2 linked regions of the Cricetulus griseus genome follow. The protein of the gene in region 2 purifies or fractionates together with the protein of the main gene of each other region. This does not show direct contact. Links are inferred from orthologs where the notes say so. Each region holds a gene or a part of one and is shown on either strand. Other genes may lie near its edges.

What was found. Proteins that work in one complex are often made in the same cells at the same time.
Region 1: the proteins of Slc34a2 (region 2) and Endod1 purify together in Homo sapiens (co-immunoprecipitation; 3 studies listed by BioGRID and IntAct, counting the BioPlex papers as one, with this or other methods). This does not show direct contact. The link is inferred for Cricetulus griseus from reciprocal best matches to the Homo sapiens genes SLC34A2 and ENDOD1.

What each region holds. Positions count from the first base shown.
Region 1 is NC_048597.1:127,844,343-127,854,827, forward strand, and holds the start of Endod1 (endonuclease domain-containing 1 protein), read right to left. Parts: upstream 5,225-10,485; 5' UTR 4,946-5,224; coding exon 4,646-4,945; intron 4,410-4,645; exon of another isoform or gene 4,317-4,409; coding exon of another isoform or gene 4,263-4,316; intron 1-4,262. UniProt on the Homo sapiens protein: May act as a DNase and a RNase. Plays a role in the modulation of innate immune signaling through the cGAS-STING pathway by interacting with RNF26.
Region 2 is NW_023276807.1:121,292,960-121,303,733, reverse strand, and holds the start of Slc34a2 (sodium-dependent phosphate transport protein 2B), read right to left. Parts: upstream 5,611-10,774; coding exon 5,499-5,610; intron 5,408-5,498; coding exon 5,270-5,407; intron 4,434-5,269; coding exon 4,305-4,433; intron 2,605-4,304; coding exon 2,461-2,604; intron 1,940-2,460; coding exon 1,828-1,939; intron 1-1,827. UniProt on the Homo sapiens protein: Involved in actively transporting phosphate into cells via Na(+) cotransport.

The sequences.
Region 1 (10,485 bases), on a different chromosome or scaffold from region 2:
TTTTGTTTATTGTCACAATCCCACTTTACAATGGATGTCACTATTGCTTCTAATAAACAAACAGGGAAAGCAGGGTGGCAGACACAAGTCACACACCTGTACATGGCAGGCCAGGAATCTGAACTAAGCCTTTTATCAAGAAGCAAAACCCAGAACTGTCCTGTCTGCTGCACCCTGTACACAGAGACTTCAGTGTGTGGTGGCTTCTACACATTTGTTCTCTGATGCAATGAAGAGGGGGCTGAGGTTGCAATAAATTAAACAGTGTGGCCAGCTGCCTCTGGGTGTGTAGGCAGGAAGCAACTGTCAGCAACTAAAGACTGAGGACTCAAGGTTCTAAGGGGGACAACTTCATGTGTATTTACTGAAATATGAAATACAACCTTCTAAGGCATCCCCATCACTGCAGAGCCACTGGAGCTCAAACAGTATTTCTGCATCTGCATGCGTGTTCTCACTTGTCTGTGACAGTGGAAAAGAGAAAGAGTAGAAATTCAGATTCTCATATGAAAGAGACATGAGACTCCCCATGTATATAAAAATAACACTCGACTAAATACAATGGGTCATGTTTTGAAATCCAAGCTGTGTGACCCCAGACACCAGTTAACCACTCTGAACCAATTTCTTTGTGTCAACAATGAAGAGACAGTGATGACTCTATCTTAATGTATCTTTTTAAGATCAATGAATATACACGGCCATCACTGGCTGTAAGGCCATTCCCCTGTAATGCTCATGTTTATAAAATAAGGTCTTTCGTGCTTGATTTGGGCATGAGTATACTTTGGAAATCATTGGTATCATACACAAAAATATTCTATTTGCCACTGAGGATGTGGCAGACCCTATTCCTTAAATACAACACTGCTCTTAGGTTCTGGAGTCTTGGGTGAAATGTCTGCTGACAGGATAGTCATGGGAAGGTATGTCCCCCTCTGCCTCTCACCATCTGTCCACGTTAGGTTCAAAGGTGAGCCTCTCTCCAGTAGGCCACAGGGCTTTCTCTGGTTCCCTCTACATTGCTCTTCTGTCCTTCAAGCTTTTATCACCAGGACGAAGGGCTGGGGACCCTAGGGCCTGTGAGCACAGATGGAAACCAAGGCCTCAAAGTCCCAAGGCCCTTAACTAGTGCTAGAGCTAATGTTGGAAGGGAAACTAGAGAAAGGCTCTGAGCTCTACCAGTAAACGTGTTGACAGCAGAGGCTGCTTTCCAGCAATAAGGACAAGTTTATGACCAGGGAAACACCCCAACAAAAGCATCCACACAGAGCCACTCACCACTGCACCCGAGTGAATCTCCGGCTCATAGTTATTTGATCTATCATTAATTAAATTCTTCCTATGTGCTAAGCTCTGTGTTTGCAAGAATGAGTAACCTATGTCCTACATCCTCAGCCAGAATTCAAGGGCTCAGGCAGGGGAGACAGACAGACAATAGGAACAGACAATTACAAAACACTGCAGTAAGTACAAAAATGAAGGAATCAAAACTGACATGCCTTTATTCTCAGCATTCAGGAAGCAGAGACAGGAGGATTCCTGAGTTTGAGGACAGCCTGATTTATACAAAATGAGCTCCAGGATAGCCATGGCTACACTCAGAAACCCTGTCTTGGAAGAAGTGGGAGGAGGAAAAAAAAATCTGACATGGTGGCCAAAGCCTGTAATTCCCATACTAGAGAGGTGGAGGCAGGTCGATAGTGAACTTGGGGACAGCCTAGGCAAGACCCTGTGGAGAATGAAGAGACAGAGTCTAGTACAGAAGAGCATAGGAGTGTGGTCATAACTTCGGAGGAGGGTCTGTTCAGGTGGGAAGTACTTTGGGAGAAGACATTCCAGCAAAGGTGTAAGGATAGAGTGGAAGAAGGTGAAAGGTCATGGTTGATGAGAGCTATGTGAGAAAGGCATTCCAGGGGACCACAGGTAATGCAGGCCTGGCAACATTCCTGTGGAGTGTGGTGACAGAAGGGATAGGACTTGGCCAGGAACTAAGATCCAACACCCAAAGGGTCTTGTGAACGGAAGTGCCAGTCTGCTGCTTGAACTTTGTCCCCAAGGTGTTAAATACAATGCCTCAAATACAATACAAAGCAAAGGTGACTACATTTCTGCATCTTCCATTCCGAGGTCTTCTTCAGGGGCAATTGCAGGCTGTCGGAGAGCTGCCTGGCTGCCCAGCTGGGCTGGCGCCACCCTGCCTGACTCATTGTAATAGGCCCGTACTGAACTGCCTGCCTCCTGCCTCCTGGACATCTTGGTCATGCTGACCTCATAAGGTGATATGGGCACAAAAGGACTTGGCAACAGAAACTTCTTGGAAGCAGCTAGAAGTACACACTGAGCCCTGAGCAGGACTTGCAGTGGGACATTGGCTGAGAGGCAGGCAGGCAGGTCTTGGACAGAGGCAGGGGCAGCCTGCTGCAGTAGTTCCAGAGGCACCTGCGCTTCTGTCTCCTCCCTCCCTCTTTCCTTCCCTTCAGTGTTCTTTGGTCCCCTTGCTGACCTCAAGTTAGCAAGAGAACTTGCCATCACCCTGCAGAGAAAAGTAGCCTCTGTTCTCATCTCAGCCTTGGCGACTCTCCAACAGCATTGGGGGAGGGGAATTAACTTGTTTGCTTGCTTGCTTGCTTGCTTGCTTGCTTCCTTGACCAACAACATTCTCATGTAGCCCCGGCTGGCCTGAAACTCACTGTGCAGCCTGAGGATGACCTTGAATGTCTGATCTACATGCTGGAACTGTATGCATGAGCCCCATTATATACAGTGTTGGGGATAAAACATACAGCCAAGTGCATGCCAGGCAAACACTCTACCCACTGAGCCACAGTCCAATCCTCCAGTGCCTTCCAGAAGCCAGGGCATCTCACAGCTCCAGCTGCCATTTGGAACTATTCCCTCAGCTCTCCACCTCCATCTCTCTACAGCCTCACCCCATTACTCCACCCAGGGTCTTTACAGCCTCACTGCCAAACCCTGTTCTCTATGATTTCCTTAATAGCAGGTCCACGGCTCTGCCTATGTCTCCCCTGGTGATTCCTTCCCCTGCTCCTTCCTCCTATAACTCCCTTTCTTCTGAGTCCTTAGGTTCCATGGCATATAATACAGTATTAGCTTACCTACCCCAATCATTCCCAAGGATTGATCCAAGAATCTGCCATGCCCATCTCATACAATGCCAGGCTGAAATTTCTTCTTCCTCCCTGTTCCTGAACCCTACCTAATCTTTCCAGGCTCAGCTCAAATGCCAGCCAGACCCTAAAGCTTTTCCCTATCACCTTACCAATGGATTAAGTCTAAGAGGGCTCTGCTTACCTTGGTTAAATTATGTGTTTTGTGAACCGCACAAGAGTAGCTAGCACTTATGTGTCCTGTGCCTCTGGAGAACTGACCATATAGTAACTCACTTAATCACCCCCAAGCATCCTATGTTATTATCATCCTATAGTCCTCATGAATCAACAGCCAGTCTAGAGGAATCAGGATTTGAATGCACACAGACAGGCAGCAGGTGCTCACCAGGTGTATCAAGAATTCTCATGACTTCCCCCTGTGTATGTTTGTCCCTCCAGACGCTAATGAGCTCCTTGGTGAGAATGGACTAAGTTGCTGCTCTCTTCCCAGACCCAGGGAACATAAAGAACTTCAGGTTGTAGTGGTACTCTGGGGCAAAGTAATTTTAGATTGGCATGTGTCTTCCCTACATTCACACGATAGTAACTTTTCACTGGCCTGGTCTCCCAAGAACTGAGATTAGCAAGCTGCTGGAAGGAAGGATGTAAGAAGGAAATATAGGTGCAGACTGCCTGAAGCCTGCATGGCCAAGATCTGACAGCTGGAAATATGATAAACAGCCCACACATTCACGCGGAGCCACCTGAAAGCCTGAACTTTTGTGATGGTGGCCATCAGGAACCAAAGGCTGTGGACATGCAGGGCTGGAAGGCTGGGGTGAGGTCAAAGAGAGGCAGGACAGGTATTGTAGGAGATCTGGCAGAGGAGAGCCGGTCAGCAGGCTCTGCAGGACCCATAGAGGCCTGAGTGTTTGATCCCTCCCACCAGACAGACCCAACACGGTGAAAGGTGACATGATTGCCAATGGTCTGATAATCTATAGATGTGAAGAGTCAGGAAAAACTGGTTTGTCCTTTCCTCCGTGGGTACTACCCCACTGAGCTTCTTCTCCAAGTCTGTGTGCACTCTCAGCTTTCCCATAGCCGAAAGGGCAGTGACTTTCTAGCCTCAAGAGCAGCTCATCTTACCAGCTGGGTGGTCTGCAAGCTCCTGATTCTGTAAAATGGGGTGAACTTGCCCATCACCCCGAATGAATGCTACAGAGGGGACGAGCGCGGGCCTGTGCTTCCCGTGGATCTCGCGATCTCCTAGTGCTGTCTCCCAGTCCAGGTCCTCTACTACCCAGGAAACCAAGCAGACACTGCAGACGTCTGCGCCCACGAGGAGGGAGGGCCAACTCCCCAGGGAACCTCCTACCCTTGCAGCTTAAGTGGCGACTCCCACCAGGGCAAGGCAGGCTGCAATTGGAGGGGGTGGGGTGGATCTTGAGCCTTGGGTCCATCCGTCCCTTCCCGTCCCTCCCCGTCTCCTACACCCACCCACCCGCCGGCGCTGGCTGAACGCTGCTTACCTGCGGCTCCAGAAGCCCGCGCTGCTCAGCACTAAGGGGCGCCGGGCGAGCAGCGCGAAATGCTGAGAACACGGGGATGCGGTGGTCCGGGCTATACAGGGTGGCAAAGCGCTCGGCGCCAGCGAAGCGCTGACAGATCCTCACGTGCGTCTCGGTTGCCAGCCCGGCGGGTGGGGTCCCTGCGTAGAAGAAGCGGTCGCACTCTCCGAAGCCCGCTTGGTGCGGGAGCAGCAGCCGGGCCTGCAGCAGCCCCACCAGGGCCAGGAGGCCGCCCAGGGCGAGCCAGCGCGCACAGCCCATGGCGGCCTCTGCGCGGCCAGGCTCCGCAGGAGCAGGGAAGTCCGCGCTGTGCAGCTCCGGCGGGGCGGCTCCGGACCAAGGCCGCGCCCCTTCTCCGCCTCCACCCCGAAGATGGCTGCAGGGCTCGGCCCGGCTTTCTGCTGCTGCACCGGTGCGTGGAGACTGGTCACCTGCTACCGCGTTGCTGCGGAGTGCCAGACTCACCCCTCCGCGCTGGTCTGGCCTAGACCAAGGGACGGTCCCCGGGGCTGGGACTGAGAAGCCACGGCTGGCTCGCACCAGGGCCCTCCGGGATGCACAGGGGCGGGGGATGCACAGGGGCGGGAGATGCCCTCACAGCAATGCTCTCCGGAGCCTGTGCCTGCCCTTCCGCATCAGACCCTGGGCGGTGGTGAAAACGCTTTTAATCCCAGCACTCGGGTAGCAGAGGCAGGATGATCTCTGTGAGTTCGACGTCAGCCTGGCCTATAGAGTTAGTTCCTGGAGAGCCAGTACTGTTACACAAAGAAACCCTGTCCCGAAAACAAAAACAAGAAAAGAAACCCGGTAAAAGGCAGTCACGGTGGTAGAGGCAAGGGGATACATCATTCAAAGTTCAACAGGGCTCCGTAAGACCCTGCATCAAATAAATAAATACAAACAAACAAATAAATCCCCGTTAAAGGAAGTTCCTAGGCTGACAACACAGCCCTGCTGTGGTTTCCTTGCTTGGGTTAGACATCAAACTGAAATTCAGCACGGAAAGAGACTGCAAACATCCTTTATTCCTCCCACTGCTTGTATGCCCCGCACACCTCTACCTGGAATTAGTATAGTGATAGCAAACAAGAGCAGGGGCTCTGTGTGGTGAGTACAGCTTGCTGTTAATTCAAAGGTATCCTGTTAGGGGGATCACTGAAAACCCAACGTGAACCCACTGCGTGACTCCTACAGGACTTTAGGAAAAGATGACATCTGAACTGAAGCAGGAGGGAAGCAGCCCAAGCTAGGGCGACTTTCTCCAGGAGGGAGAGGCAAGTGGGAAGAACTTGAGAAGGCTGATGGTATACAGACCAAAGGAAACGGGCTGGGGTGTTGCTTAGTGGGTGGAGTGCTTGCCTAGTATGTAGAAGCCCTGGGTCCCATTCCAGGCACTGTATAAAGTAGGTGTGGTGATCTGCACAGAGAGGAGTAGAAGTAGGGGGAGCAGGAGTCCAAAGGCAGGGTGGGCTTGAGACCCTGTCTAAAAACTAATGAATTAATTAAACTTAAAAAGTGACAACTAGCCGCTGACTTAAATGTTTTCTCAGAAGCACTAATGGATTATATTATAACCCGATGTTTGGAAAGAATATTATAAATTAGGTTAATGAGCCAAACAGGGTGACTCTAGAGAGAAGGGACCAGGAGAATTAAGAATTTGAGACCAGCCTGGGCTACAAAGCAAGACCAATCTCAAAAAGAAAAATCAAACAAAACCAATAAAAAAATTGTTGAAAACTTGGATCTTTCCATCATATTTCTGAGCAGAGAATGATGTACTAGAGCGGTCAGAAAGAATGAAAAGCAAAAGCAGGCTGGGGAGATGGTTTAGAGGTCACAGTGATTACCACACAAACTTGGGAGTATCAATTCAGATATAAGCATGAGAGTCTATTTGAGTTTGATGCACAGAACCTGAGTCAAAAAGCAGGGCACAATGACACAGGCTTGCAATTTCATGCTGGAGAGGTAGAGGAAGGTGGGTCCTTGGGGCTGGAAGGAGAGGCTCGCCTAATTGTTGAGTCTCAGGCCAGTGAGAGTTGAAGTGGACATCTCCTGCTGGCACACCACACACACACACACACACACACACACAACACACACACACACACACACACACACACACACACACACACACACACACACACACCACACACACACAGCATACATACCTCTGCCCCATTACCTTACCCTCACGGTATCCTTGAGTTTCATCTCAGTCTCCTATGAGTGGCTGTCAGATATAAACAACATTTGCACACCCCACAGATAGTGTCTTCTACTTGACTTGCTTTTGCTCACAGTATGAGACATTGTTTTAGCTTTTTGTTTTGTTTTGCTTTGTGATTGTTTTTTTTTTACATGCTCACCTTTTGACGATAAAAATTATAATTTTGAATTTGCTTTTGAAAGTTGCAAATTTCCTTGCTCCAAGTTTCTGAAAAAAAAATTACAGGGTGGGAAGGCCTAGAACTGATTCAAATATTTGCTGAACACTTATTCCAGGGGCAGCTTGTCTTAGCAACACCCAGGAATGCCCATCAGTCTGTCCCTGCTGTTTTTGCCTTGGTCACCCTGAGTCTCCCTTTTTCTGCTGACGCTGCTCACAGAGGGGGCAGTTTTGGCTTGAGCTCCTTTAGATCTCTCCTCACAGCCACACAGCACCTGTCCAGCTGAGGCCTGAGCAAGAGACAGTGGTGAGATGAAATACAATGGCATCACTGTATGCTTCTGTGGTTTGGGTTCTAGTTGTTTGAAAGTATGAGCCTCCCTTGTCCCCATACTGTGAGGACTGCACCCTACCACCACACTAAATGCACCAGGCCCTCATTGCTCCAACTCTTCCCACTCTACTTTGCAAATGGGGTGACCTCCTACCAAAAATATGACTCCATAACTCTACTTGCACACTCTCCAATCACTCTTCCCATGCCTTCCAATAAAACCAGCACACACACACACACACACACACACACACACACACACACACACACACCACTGCCCCTCTTTCTTAGGTCTCCTCTCTTACCACTCCCTCATTGCGCCATGCCCTTGGAGCTGTTCAGTTTCTCCAGCTCCATAAGCATGCGCATTCCCCTGGACCCTGAACCTCTGCATCAGGAAGTACTTTTCTCTCCCCTTTGCTTGCTTTTCCCTTACAGTCTGTCCTACCTACCTCACACCCTGAAGCCACTCAGCTTCCCAACAACCTTATACTTACTCCACCCCACACACACCCAACTTGAGGTTTAGCCCCTGTTAAGCCCAGCACTCCCTCCTCCACCTGTGCTATAATTGCTTTCACCTTTAGATAGGAACTATGTGTCTGTTTTAAAGTCAAATTCCAATGCAGGGAGGGAGAAGGAAGAAAGGAAAAGAGGGGGGCGGGGGGAAAAGACTTTTCTCTAAGACACTTCATCTAGGCTTTATAGATCCAGTCCATTTTCTCTCAGAATGCCTCCTTTCCTAATATTTTATGTGTGTGAGTGTTTTTCTGCCTGTGGTCTGTGAACCACTTGTATGCCTGGTGCCAGTAGAGGCCATCAGAGGATGTCGGATCCCCTAGAACTGGAGTTATAGACAATGTGAGCCACCATGAGAATGCAGAGAAATGCATCTGGGATCTGTCTCAGAAAAATCTCTCTCTCTCTCTCTCTCTCTCTCTCTCTCTCTCTCTCTCTCTTAACAGACTTAATTCACTTTATTTTTCTTGTATAAAAACCTTTATGTGGTGGCTACAGCTGGAGCCTGGGCCCTCTGAACAGAGACTCCGTTGAGGGTTTTCACAAGATGGTCAGTGAATTCCTGATGGAGACTAGGTGAGCACAGTCTCTTTCCAGAGGTCGGGGGCCGGGTAGCTGTAGGTCTTGGAGAGGCATCAAAGGAGGACTAGGCAAAGTTGCACAGGGTGGAAGTACAGGCCCTGGCTGATGTGCAGCAGTCATCAATACCAGCCATCATCAGTAGCTTCTTGGGCACAGGAGCAGAAGCAATGCCAGTGCCTCTGGGGACAAGGATGAGATGAACCAACACACACAGTGGATGTCACCTTGCATGGAACAGTTTGGGGCTTGCCAATCTTGTTCCAATAGCCTATCCACACAGGCACAATGGAAAGCTTGGCCAAGATAATGGGCCCTTGGATGGCAGTGGCTACTTGGACCACTTAACCCCAAGATCAACATGACCATTATAGTCCCTGATAGCGTCAAAAGCTTTGAATCTGGTCCACTGTTTCTGCACGGGCATGATCTTCAGAATCTCATCCTTTAGGGTTGTGCCCAGGAAAAAGTTAATAATCTCAGATTCCCTAGTAGGCAGAGGGAACAAGCAGATTTCTGGGGACTTGATTTTCATGTCCTTGACCAGGCAGCCCAACTTGGTGACAGAGATCCACTCTTTTCTTTGGCTTTACCTCCAGGAGCCCCCTGGCCTTGACCAAGATCATGGCCCCTAAGGCAGTTGCTGGCCTCCTAATCCTAGGCCACCTCATCCTCTGGGGCCTCCTGCTACACAGTGTCATCCACTATTTTGTTGTTTCCCACTGAAGAAGCAGCCAGAAAGTTTCTTAAATGCCCACCACGAGCCAGTGACTGCACTATCTGCTGGGTATTCAGAGGAAATAGAACCTCATTTTGTTCCCATGTTCCCCGGTATTCTCACTCCAGCACCTTTTGGATCCAGGTGGGCTCTCAGAAGAGAAAGCAGAAGTCAGCAATGCCCCAGAAGCTTCTGCCTGAGACAGAAAGAGCAAGGTACATGATGGGGAATGTCCTCCTTTCTGTATGCTGTGAATAGATGTTTCTGTTATTGGTTAAATAAAATGCTGATTGGCCAGTAACCAGGCAGGAAGTATAGGTGGGGCTACCAGACTAGGAGAACGCTGGGTAGAGGAAGGCAGAGAGGGGCCGCCGGAGAGATATTATGTAGCTGCCAAGGAAGAAAAGGGACCAGGCATCACCAGTAAGTGCGAGACCATGTGGAAATACATAGATTAATGGATATGGGTTAATAATTAACAGAGAGCTAGCCAATAAAAAGCCTGAGCCATCGGCCATGCAGTTTATAATTACTATAAGTGTCAGTGTGTTTTTTTTGGAATTAAATGGCTAGACCAGGTGGAAAATAAACTCTGACTACAGCATGGGCTTTGCAAAGTCACAAAGCTCTGAACTATCAAATGAAAGCAAGGTCAGGTGACCTCCATGTCACAGGAGTTGAAACATGACAAGAAACACAGACAAGCAAAACTAGGCACAAAATAATTGGATGGAGGAACTATTATATGTAGTTGTGATGGGGGATGTCCTTCTGTATGCTGTGAATATATGTTTCTCTTATTGGTTGGTGAATAAATGCTGATTGGCCAGTAGCCAGTTAGAAGACTGGGAAAAGAGAGACAGAGGATGAGTCAGAGAGAGAGAGAGAGAGAGAGAGAGAGAGAGAGAGAGAGAGAGAGAGAGAGATATGCAATGTAACCACCACAGGAATAACATGCTGGAGCATTATGGGTAAGCCACAATCTCATGACAATACATAATTTAATAGAAATGGGTTAATAATTAAGAGAGGGCTAGCCAGTAAGAAATCTGAGCCATCAGCCAAACAGTTTATAATTGATATAAACCTTTGTGTGTTTATTTGGGAAGAAATTGTCGTGGGACCAGGCAGGAAAGAAATTCTGTCATCATAGTGGTACAGCTGACAGTTTAGGCAGACAGTAGCAATGGTGGAAGCCAGTGTAATTGAGACATGTTAGAACATGACTGTAACTAGAATATTCAGTTATTTCTAGGCTC
Region 2 (10,774 bases):
AGAGCAGTAAATGCTTTTAACCACTGAGCCACCTCTTCAACTGTGCCTAGACCACTTGAAACTGCTTGGAAGGCAACCTGGCCTTTGAAAAGTGGAGAGCAATGGGGCAAACAATGAGAATCTTCTTACTAGCTTGCATGTGTGTGCCTCAACTGGTACAGGAGCCCATCAGAAGCCTGTGGACTTGAACTACAGGCAGTTGTGGGCCACCATATGGGTGGTGGGAACTCAACCCAGATCCTCTGAAGTACAGTAAGTACTTGAGCCATCTTAACAGCCCCCAAATTCTAAACCTTTAAAAGTTCAAAATTCTGAGACACACAACTTTCAAATTAAGAAATTAGCCCAAGCCAGGCAAAAAACAAACACTGCCATAGGCTTTCTTCTCAATGAAAATTGAAAAGGTTCCTTCTAGAAACATCCCCATGCCAGAAAATACCTACCACTAGGTATATTTGGTATATGACACTCTTCTTGATATATGCCACTCTCCTTCAAGCACTTGATACGCACATGGGGAAATAATTTCACCAGTAAAAGAAATGTACTGAAAGTTCCAGTGTTTGCTCTATGGCATTAGCTACTCTCATTCATCCTGGAGAAGGCAATGTAAGAGCCTTCATATACTGCAGATGAAATAGAAAATGATTCAAACATTTCCCGGTGCTTGGCAAAATGTACAAGAGCTCTATAAACACTTGATACAGTAATTATCGTAGATATCTAAAGCAATAATCCAAACCTCTGAGAAGGATGTCTCACACACACACAACCAATTCCACATACTGAAATAGTATACTTAAATAGTACAGGGACGGGGGGATAGGATGAGTCAGTTATATCCAAGCACATGGGCACCACAATAGGTCTTGAGCTTCTATTCTATAGGCTATTAGGCAGCAATCAGGTTTAAGTATTCATGAGATGAGCCCAAATTTTCCAGAATTGAAACCTAACTGGAATCCTGGCTGTGCCAGTCAATGACATCACTTTGTCTCCTTTGACTACAAGATGAATAAAGACGGCTGTCTGGCTTGATGAGAAGATCAAATTAAAGAGTGCCTGCTTTAATGTGTATTATCATGTCCATCAAGACATGTCATCAGGAACCAAATGAGGTGGCTCAGGTAGATGGACCACTGTGATAACCGATCACCAACCAGCAGACACGACAAACATGACCTGTTTCCCAACAACCTGCTATAATGTCATCTACTTGACCACACCAGGATGGCATCATAGACAAGTTGAGAATTGCTTCTATATTTTAATAAGCTCTGGTAAGAGTCTCTCACTGGGTAGAAACGCTGGGAAGCATGCCTAATTTCCATGTTAACATTTTAAGAGGGTTTCCCTTTGCCCATTTCCAACTGCCCTATTTTTGTATCTTACACGTCATAAACTGTGTTTGCCTTTGCCAGCTTACAGGTGAAGGGGTAGTTAGTTGAGCTAGCCAAAAATGGAAGTTTTAGGAAGTTATAATTATCTATGACTAAAAGACAGTAAAGTCTGCCCCAACTGGCCTTGTTTTAATGCTACCACCCAGCAGTACATGTCCAGCTAGTGCGTACCTTTCATGTATCCTGTCGCAGTGCCAGGTGCTTGCTTGCATGACTGTTTAATCATTACAATAACTTAGTGGTGCTGGATATTATTATTCTGGCTCTACAGATTAGTAAGTGGATTTTAATCAACTAGGATTCCCAATCCTAGTCGACTCTTGGGGCTCTGTACAGACAAACTCTGTACAGACACCTTTGTGATTAGATAAAGGCATTGACTCAAACAACAGACCTGGTGGGAACAAAGCCCCCCTAAGACTCCTACCTTCTGAACTCATTCCGGTCTCCTGCCTGCATAAGTGCCACAATAGTATTGGTGATGGAGGTTCCGATGTTGGCCCCCATGATGATGGGGATGGCAGCCCGCACGGTCAGTACTGAAGGTTAGAAAAGAACTGTGAGGCAGCCTGCAAGGCAGGGGAGTCATGTTCTACACATCCCAATGTGGGCTGAATGCACCGCAGCTATTTTCTATGTGGGGAGGGGTCCATACATAACAATACACAGAGGGGAGTGTATTGAAATCTAGAGAGGCGAGTCAATGAACCTGCCTGACTCCATTCTTGAATGTAATTTTAGGGCACTAGCTGACCCCCTGAAGCCCTATGGACCTTGCTTTAAAACTCCCCTGTCTTCTACGACCGAGCTCAAGCCATCTCACAGGACACCAGGAATCAGTCAGTGATTAAAGGAATGGATGAGTCCCAGAGTTGATAAGGACACCGGTTATGTGGCACAAACGCTCATGAGACACTGTGTGTTGTATAGATTAGGCTGTCCTCAAATTCACAATGCAGAAAAATTCTCATTAATTTTGGCTAAAATACTGGCATAAGTAAAAGAGATAAGAAGTTAATTGTGTCATGACGTAGACAGAATTAGAGCAAATCCAACTCACATGAGGAAGCAACCATGCTGACAACGATGGACGAAGATGTGCTGGAGCTTTGCACCATGACGGTCACCAGCACCCCAATCACTAGCCCAGCCACAGGATTAGCCATGATGGAGTTATTGCTGAAGAACTGGCCAGCTACTTTTCCTGAAAGACAAATGGTGGTTGTGTGAGGACAGACAGGGGTGGTAGCACCTAGTCCTAATGTCCACACGAGATCAGATGTCTGTAGGGTTGGAGCCCAGACTTCAGCTCAGCTGGGTCGTGCTTCCTGTTCTTTTTTCCTTGCACTGCTCTGAAGGAATCTCTGTCTGGCAATGTGAGCCTGGATCCACCTCCATGTCTTTGACATGGTTTAGCTCCATACTCAGTTATGGGTCTTATCTCTTCACTCTCTGGCTTCCCACCTTGAACCCCAGCCCCACTCCCAAATCAGCCAGCTTTTTTTCCAGTCTCCTCTGATCACGAACCAGGCTTAGTATAGATTGTAATTCCTCTATTCTTTATTCTTTAGCACCTCCCGCTGCAACTGACTCATCACTGAATTCTAGGGGTTTCTTTGGGAGTGTACCTATGTGACCCTCAGTCCTTCTCCAACCCATTTTATAATGGATGCCTAGACAGGGACTGGGTGTGAATTGTCCAAGATAATCATTATCATAAGTCAAGCCCCTTATGAATGTTCCTAAGGGCCAGGGAGACTTATCACATTCAACCTGTCAGGGCCCTAACAATTGACCTACCTCCCACCCCACATCACTCATGCCAAAAAGATCAGCCCTGCAAGGCATGGTGGCTCATGCCTTCAATTCCAGAACTTGGGAAGCAGAGATGGAGGATGTCTGTGAGTTCCAATCCAGCCAGAAATAGTGAGACCCTGACCTAAAACACGCTTGGAAAGGGTGTGGTGGAGCACTCCATTAATCCTAGCAGAGGCGAATGAATCTGAAAGCTAGTGGGCAATCTGGTCTAAATAGGGAGTTTCAGAACATCCAGATAGAGTCTCAAAGAGAAAGAAAGAAAGAAAGAAAGAAAGAAAGAAAGAAAGAAAGAAAGAAAGAAAGAAAGAAAGAAAGGGAAGGAAGGAAGAAAGGAACAAAGAAAGAAAATAAAAAGAAGAAGAAGACTTTTTAAATTTCTATTTATTTAGCTCAAGGCAGCAAGAGAAGCAGAATCCACAGGCTTTTGTGTCACTCTGATCTGTGCTCTGGAACCCCACTGTGTTCATTACAGGCTGTGTTTACAGTCTGGTTAGTTAGTGACCTCTGAGCCTTGGTCCTCTCTTACAAGTGGGAGAGACTTTAGGAAGGACTACTCCAGACAGGGCTACTCAGTGTGCTATCTGTTGTCACACATGAAGGGTCCAAAGTTAACTGAGCACATATGGCCATTTCACTTTTGGGTTTCTGGAACACGGGCCACTTTGTTCAGGGCTCAGTCCAGGGAAGGCATCTACTGTGGGTTTTTTCCAGCAAGAGCCGGCTTTGATCTTTCCTACTTGCTTTGGCCTGAGAGATTTTTTTTTCTCCCACACTCTCTAGACAGAAGCCTAGAGACAGCAGGGATTCCCAGATAAAAGGAGTTAACAATTTCCTTCTGGGATTTAGGTACAATAGGAGGGACTCTGATAACTACAATCAACTCCAAACCTGGCTCCTGGCTTAAGCTGCCTGAGCCACTTAGAAGCTTCAGTCCTCTTCTCCATGAGGAAAGTCTGAGCTGCTGTCAGGTCTGTCCTCACCCACGCCCAACCATGTTGAAGCATGAGGCTGAGGCGGCCTGTGAGCTGCGTCCACCTGACATGAAATTCAGGAGTCATGAATAGAGAGGCCTCAGGGGGTCCTTACCTCCAACCAGTTGGAAGGCACTGCTGAGTACATCCAGGGAGCATACGAAGAAGTAGAGGAAGCCCAGGAGAAGAAGGAATTTCCCAATCCCCTGAAAAATGCAGAGAATCTTCCCTTTGGTGTCTCTCTCTGTGGGGGGAAGTGGGGAAGGAGGGCATAACAGTTAGCATCTTTCCAGCTAGAACAGAGATGTTTACCACGGGAGCTCTCTGCTCTGCCTTCCACCACCGGCTCCTGAATCAAGGCCTGGAGGTGGGACAGCCTCCAGTGCAGCAGGTTCCTGGCAGTTCTCTTTGAGATGCATTTCACTGGACCCTCCTTCATGTTCCTGGAGTCAGAGTGGAGCGGAGAGCTCACTGTGGTCTGGGCCCAGAGAAGCAGCCCACCAGAATGGATGTTCAAGTGAACCTCAATGTCACTGAGAAAGCATGTGCCACCGATGCAGAGTCACAGGCAACGGCTTCACAAAGCACCTTCAGAACCGCACACACACCTTAAATCCCAGCACTGGGGAGGCAGTGGCAGGCAGATTTCTGTGAGTTCGAGGACAGCCTGGTCTACAAAGCAAGTTCCAGAATAGCACAGATATCAAAGCTGCAAGCTGTGCAAGCTGAAATCATAGCTGCAGTTTGTTGAGGGCCAGGGCCTTAGACTTCCCGCTAAGCTACAAAAGTGTCTTTTCACCTCTCCTACCCAACTCCCTTCCCCTCCTACCACCCAAGCCTATCCTAGCTGACTGGTCCACAGGCTGATTGTAACCCCACATCTGGAACAAACAGAAATAAGCTTTTGTTCACCCCAGCTTTGCTGGCTGTATTCTCAGCACTTCTTTTAAAGCCTGTCTGTTAGGGCCTTGATCCCTAGTTATTATTCTTTAGAACCCTGGTCCATGTGACATAAAGGTCAACACTGGACTGGCTGGGTCCTTCTTGCTGGTCCCTGCTGGATGCTGGACATCCACGTACCTGACCATTTGATTCCGGTGTCCCGGAGTTCAGGCAGGTCCCAGGGGTCATTCACCTCAGCGGGCTCCTCTATCAGGACCACGGTGGAACAGGAAGGTAGAAGTTCAATCTTGGTTACAGGAGTGCCACTGTCATCTGCTCAAACAAATAGCAAAGGCCATGAGGAATGAGAGCTAAATCTCTGTGGGTCCTTGAAGGGGGCCTGTCCCAATTGGTGAGGAACACTTACTTTTGCTGGTTTCCTTGTTCTTGGCTGCTGCGTTAGACTGTGGATCTGAGTCCCCTTCAATGAATTTATTGGGGTTGGGCTGGGCATTTTCCAACTCGGGCCACGGAGCCATGATCTGCAAAAGAGAAGAAAGACAGCGCTTGAGGATGCAGCCTCTGATGTAAAAGTTGCCTGAGAGAAAGCCATTCCTTGCAATTCTTAGGAATGGGAGACAGGAAAAGAGGTATTTACACCAATGGACTCTGCTAGTTACACCGAGGCAAGTTCAACTGCAAATCAGCACCAAACCTCCTTACCCAGTGGTCTCGACATCCACATACGTTAATGCCAGTATGTGATGCATACTCCTAGACAGCCCACCTGTTTTTCCTACCATGTAGGTCTTCCGTGAAAGTATGACAAAGTGTCACTCATGAGTTGATGTGCCTCAGGACTAAATACCTTTCTTTATGCCTTCAATCACTTGGTACCAGTTTCTCCTGTAAAATGGGACAATTCTTCATACTTCTTGAGCTATGAGATTGATAATGAGGCTAAAAGGCTGATAGATTGCAACTATCACTGGGTCACCCTATCATGATCAATGGCCCTTTATCAGAGCTTCATTGTTTCCAGCCCCTGGGAGGACTTCCTCATAACCCATTTTCTCCACAATACCCTTCTTAGTTACATGCCAGCTCACCTGGCTGGCCACCGCTTGCAGCCTATCCAGACACCATGAAGCAAAACAATCCAAAGAACAGAAAATTCACAGAAAAGGAAGTACAAACAGCTAAGAGTTTAGCCTCATCAGCAATTCAAGATATGCAAATCAAGTGGCATTGGCAGAGTGTAATCTACTGTTGTGCTGTGGTAGCCTGAGGCGTGCAGCTTCTCCATGGGTTCAAGGCCAGCCTCCGTCATGTAGTGGAGCTCTGGGGCAGCCTGAACTAGAGAAGGAGCATATCTCCAAAGATGTACCATGCTGGAACACAGCTAGGAAGCTCTCAAAAATGATGGCACTGTGGCTATCCTGCATCTTTGGCCTACTCATTTCTCTTATGGGAATTAGAAGGGAAGAAACATTAGCTCTCAGAAACACCTGCCTTATCCTCATCAATTCCCCTGAGAGGATTCCCAGAACCAGGGTCCAACTGGCCTCTATTTCCTGCTTACCAAAGGACAAGCACTACCAAGAAAGGGGCATCCTTAGGCCCTGAAGCTCTGCCTGGCCCTCAATAAGGCCCAATACATATTTATACCAAAAGGTATTTCCTGCTGTGTTCTAATGAAGGCAGATCATGAAGTAACAAAAAGCAGATCATTAAAGGTAGTAAGGGAAAACAAACACAGGCAAGTGCTTTTTATGATGAATAAGAGGCATACTTTGTCCCAATTCTGGCAAGGTTACAAGAGGGTAACTAGGATCCACTATCATTCAGAGTCGGGATGGGATAGCAACATCTATCCAACTTCAGGTTAAAAGGGCTGATTCTACCCAGGTATGTGGCTTGGTGATTTTGAGGCCAGCCTGGCTCAAAACTAAGCTCTCAGGTGGGAAAGGCAGTCACAACCATGACCTGAGTCCGTGTATGCCACTCCCTGAATTAATAATGCCAAGTAAGGAACACACTAGGACCCTAGTATTTGGGAGGTAAGGGTTGGAAGGTTGCACGTTCCAGACATACACAGGATAATGTAGTGAGAAGATACCTTATCCCTCATCCCCACCAAATCAGGGACTCCTGGTCTAAGCACATTTCCTGATGCATTGTGGGGAAACACCTGAGTGAAGGAGTAAGCTACAGGGATTTGTCTGAGTTAATATCAGGAATGAAATGTTTCAGACTGAAGGTCCAGCACAAGGCAAGTGAATGCCTTGCCTCACCTCACATGGAAAATGGAGCCAGTGGCACACTTCCTGGTCACACAAGGCAGGTGGGAGGAGGAATCTGACTCACAGCTCAAACCCAAGCTTCCTGTGTATGGGAGGAGTCTGTGACCTGCATTCTCCCTGGGGCTATCAACCTGTACACTGGTGCTATTGGACATCTCTACTTCAAGTTCACCCCAGTTTAAGCTAACTCTTTCTTCATTCTTCAGTCAGACACCCGTTCCCTTCAGCAGAACTTTCCTGTTTGTAACTTCTGCCATCATTGTCCCAGACTTTCAAAATCATCTCTGATCGTTCCCAAATCTTCCAGACCTAGTGGCTCTACCTGGAAGAATTTCCTGACTCAGCTTGCATATCATCCCACCAGCCTGGGCCCCTACAGCTAGCTCCTAACTGAATGGATGTCACAACTTCCCTAGTGGGTCCCCCACATCTTCCCATGGGAGACCCTTCCTCACACAGCTGTGCAATACACGGTCTCCCCTCCCCTCCCACATTCTACTACCCATTGCTGTCCTCAATTGACCTCTCTTCTCTAGATTACTTCCCCCACAGTGCAGCCCTGCCACTTTGGGGTTCCACTTCTATCCTGATACAGACAGTGCTTCAGTACTAAACTCAGATCCTCCCTCCTCTCTGCTCTGCCTTGTCGTCCTCTATCCTGGCACGTGCTGGCTGTGTGACTCATCTGGCACTCCATCACATATCACTATGACATCTCTTAATCTCTAATAACTAGGACCATTTAATGATCGTCAGAGAGCTGCCCTGTCCCAAGCTGGTACCTGATATACACATTCTTATTCAGGCTTTCTGCACAAAAAGCATGGTGAACAGTACCGCAGAAGCAGCCGAACAGCCGAAAAGACAGCACTTTACACAGTTCTGCCAGGTTGGGACCTCACCCAAGATACTAAAGGGCGACATCAACACTACTTGTCTCCCTGCAGTAGTTTTACTTATGGAATTGGGAAAGGGTGGCGGACCATGACTGGTGTATGATTTACATTTCAGATAAGCTGTTTTCATGAACTGAGGTGTTTATTAACCTAAACATTGACAACTGGGGCATACAGGTCTCTGATGAGGGTGGGGCTGGGGGTTGGGGGCTGGGGGGTGGGGGTCCTGTGTACTGAGGAATATTTAGCATCAGCCCTGTCTCTACTAAATGCCAAGGCTTTCACCCTAATTTTGACAACGTCTTCAAACATTGGCAGATATCCTAAGGGACTAAAGACAGTTTCCAGAGGAAGTTAGCTTTTTAGATTGCAACTTCCTGGATGTTAAAGACCAGTTTTGCTTTTGTGACATTGGGCAAGTCCTTTTGTCTTTGAGTTTCTCTGTATGCAAAATGACAACTGTGCTAATTAATGGGGCTTCTTAGAACAGTGTCCAGCACACTGTAGCCCTTGTGATTATGCTGTGCCTTGCTAAAATGACCACAGGAAATAATTCTATCACTAGGAGTTACAGGATTAAAACTGCAAGCTGAGTGTAGTGGCACACCTGTAATCCTGGCACTTGGAGGAAGAGGAAAGATAGCAAGTCCAAGACAGTCAAGTCATCAGTAAGACTCTATCTCAAAAAGAGGAGATAAAAAGCATTGAAGCTCATGCCAATTGCAGCATTCAGGTGGCAGCACTCAAGCCTGAGTTCAAGGCCAGCCTAGGCTATCTAAGGCTACACAGTGATACCTGGTCTCCAGATGCGCCCCTACCCAACAATAAAAAATCCAGCTTTAAGCTGGGCAAGGCAGTGAACTCATGTAATTCTGGAATTTGCGAGGCTGATGCAGGAGAATGGCATGATGTAGGTCAGACCAGGATAGTGAAACAAAAAGCAGGTATGTACACACACACACACACACACACACACACACACACACATGCCTTTAGGATTGCAATGGGCTATTGTTGTTACCCAAGGGACTAAAGGTCTCACATAATGGGCTCTGTATTCTTGGAGGCACACTGAAAAATTTGTAAAGCCATTCCCTGCTTTTATCCATCTCCTACTTCTAATAATCTTAAATGCAAGGACTGTTTTCCCCTCATGAACCTTTATTCCACCTTCACAAACTAAATTCTCAGAGGGCAGTAACCAGCTGACTTCTCTTCCAGTGCCCTGGGGAATCAACACAGCAACCAAATGGAAAAGCCAGTATTCAGGGCTTGCAAGTATTCAGCAGTATTCAGCAGGCAAGTGCCACTGGGGTTGTTATTTCCCTGTTAGCTACAAGATGTGTTCTGTGACCAGATTTCTATGACTAGCCAGGACCCAAACAGAAAGAATGTCTCCAGTCTCTGTGGCAGGTTGGCACTATCTTCATCCACCTTCAGTGACACCAATTATTTAGTAGTTTGTCCCATCAAAAGAGACACATTTTTGGTTTGTTTGTTTGTTTTTGTTTTTCAAGACAGGGTTTCTCTGTGGCTTTGGAAGCTGTCCTGGAACTAGCTTTTGTAGACCAGGCTAGTCTCGAACTCACAGAGATCCACCTGCCTCTGCCTGGGATTAAAGGCGTGTGCCACCAATGCCCAGCATTCTTATAGATTACCTATGCTCCTTCTTGGGATGCCGCCTTATTCTAAGTTTGGTTATTCAGGTACACTTCATTAACACTTCCCCTAGGAAGCAATTCTGGTACTCAGTCTCCTCCATCACCATTCATGCCATATCCTGATACATCAGGAAAGGAGCCAGAGATCCACACACTAGGCAAAACCACCTTGGGCAAACATCTGGGAGCATAGTCCAGCCAGCCCTGGCTCTCTAAAATGGCTAGCCACCTCCTTCCTGACTCTACCCCGACAGCGGCATGTATCCTGAAAGTAGGAAATGCAAGACATCTGGCAACGATGCAGCCATGCCACTCTGCTGCTCTGGCACACAGGCCCCATTCTCCCAGCCTCCTGTGATCTCTGTGCAGGGTGACCCACAGTCTGCAGTTGGAACTCTGGAGCAAGCAAACACCCTACAATTAGCCCCTGGAGTAAGTCAACATCAAGTGATAGTCTGTGGAGACTATAGTGTCTGGCATGCAGAGTGAGACAGAGTGTGGTGGAGGGTGGCCAGCCCTGAAGATCCCTCTAGACTTCAATGTCATTATTTCAAAAATGGAAGTGTGTCATATTCCTCCCAGAGCTGTTAAGAAGACTAATTGACAGTACGTGTAGGTCAGGCCTGAGCACTGCCTGGCAGAGTCACCCAAACTAGAGAAATGAGTTGCATCATGAACTAGTCTAAGCTGCACTTGGTCTACGTGGAGAGTCCATTGCCAGCCATGGGCACAGTAAGGATCCCAAGGGCTATAAGTGATGTCTTGTGACATGATCCTTCAAAGGGAGAATGAAGCAGAGGCAAACAGCACTGAGGAAGCAGTCTATAGTCACACTACTACCTG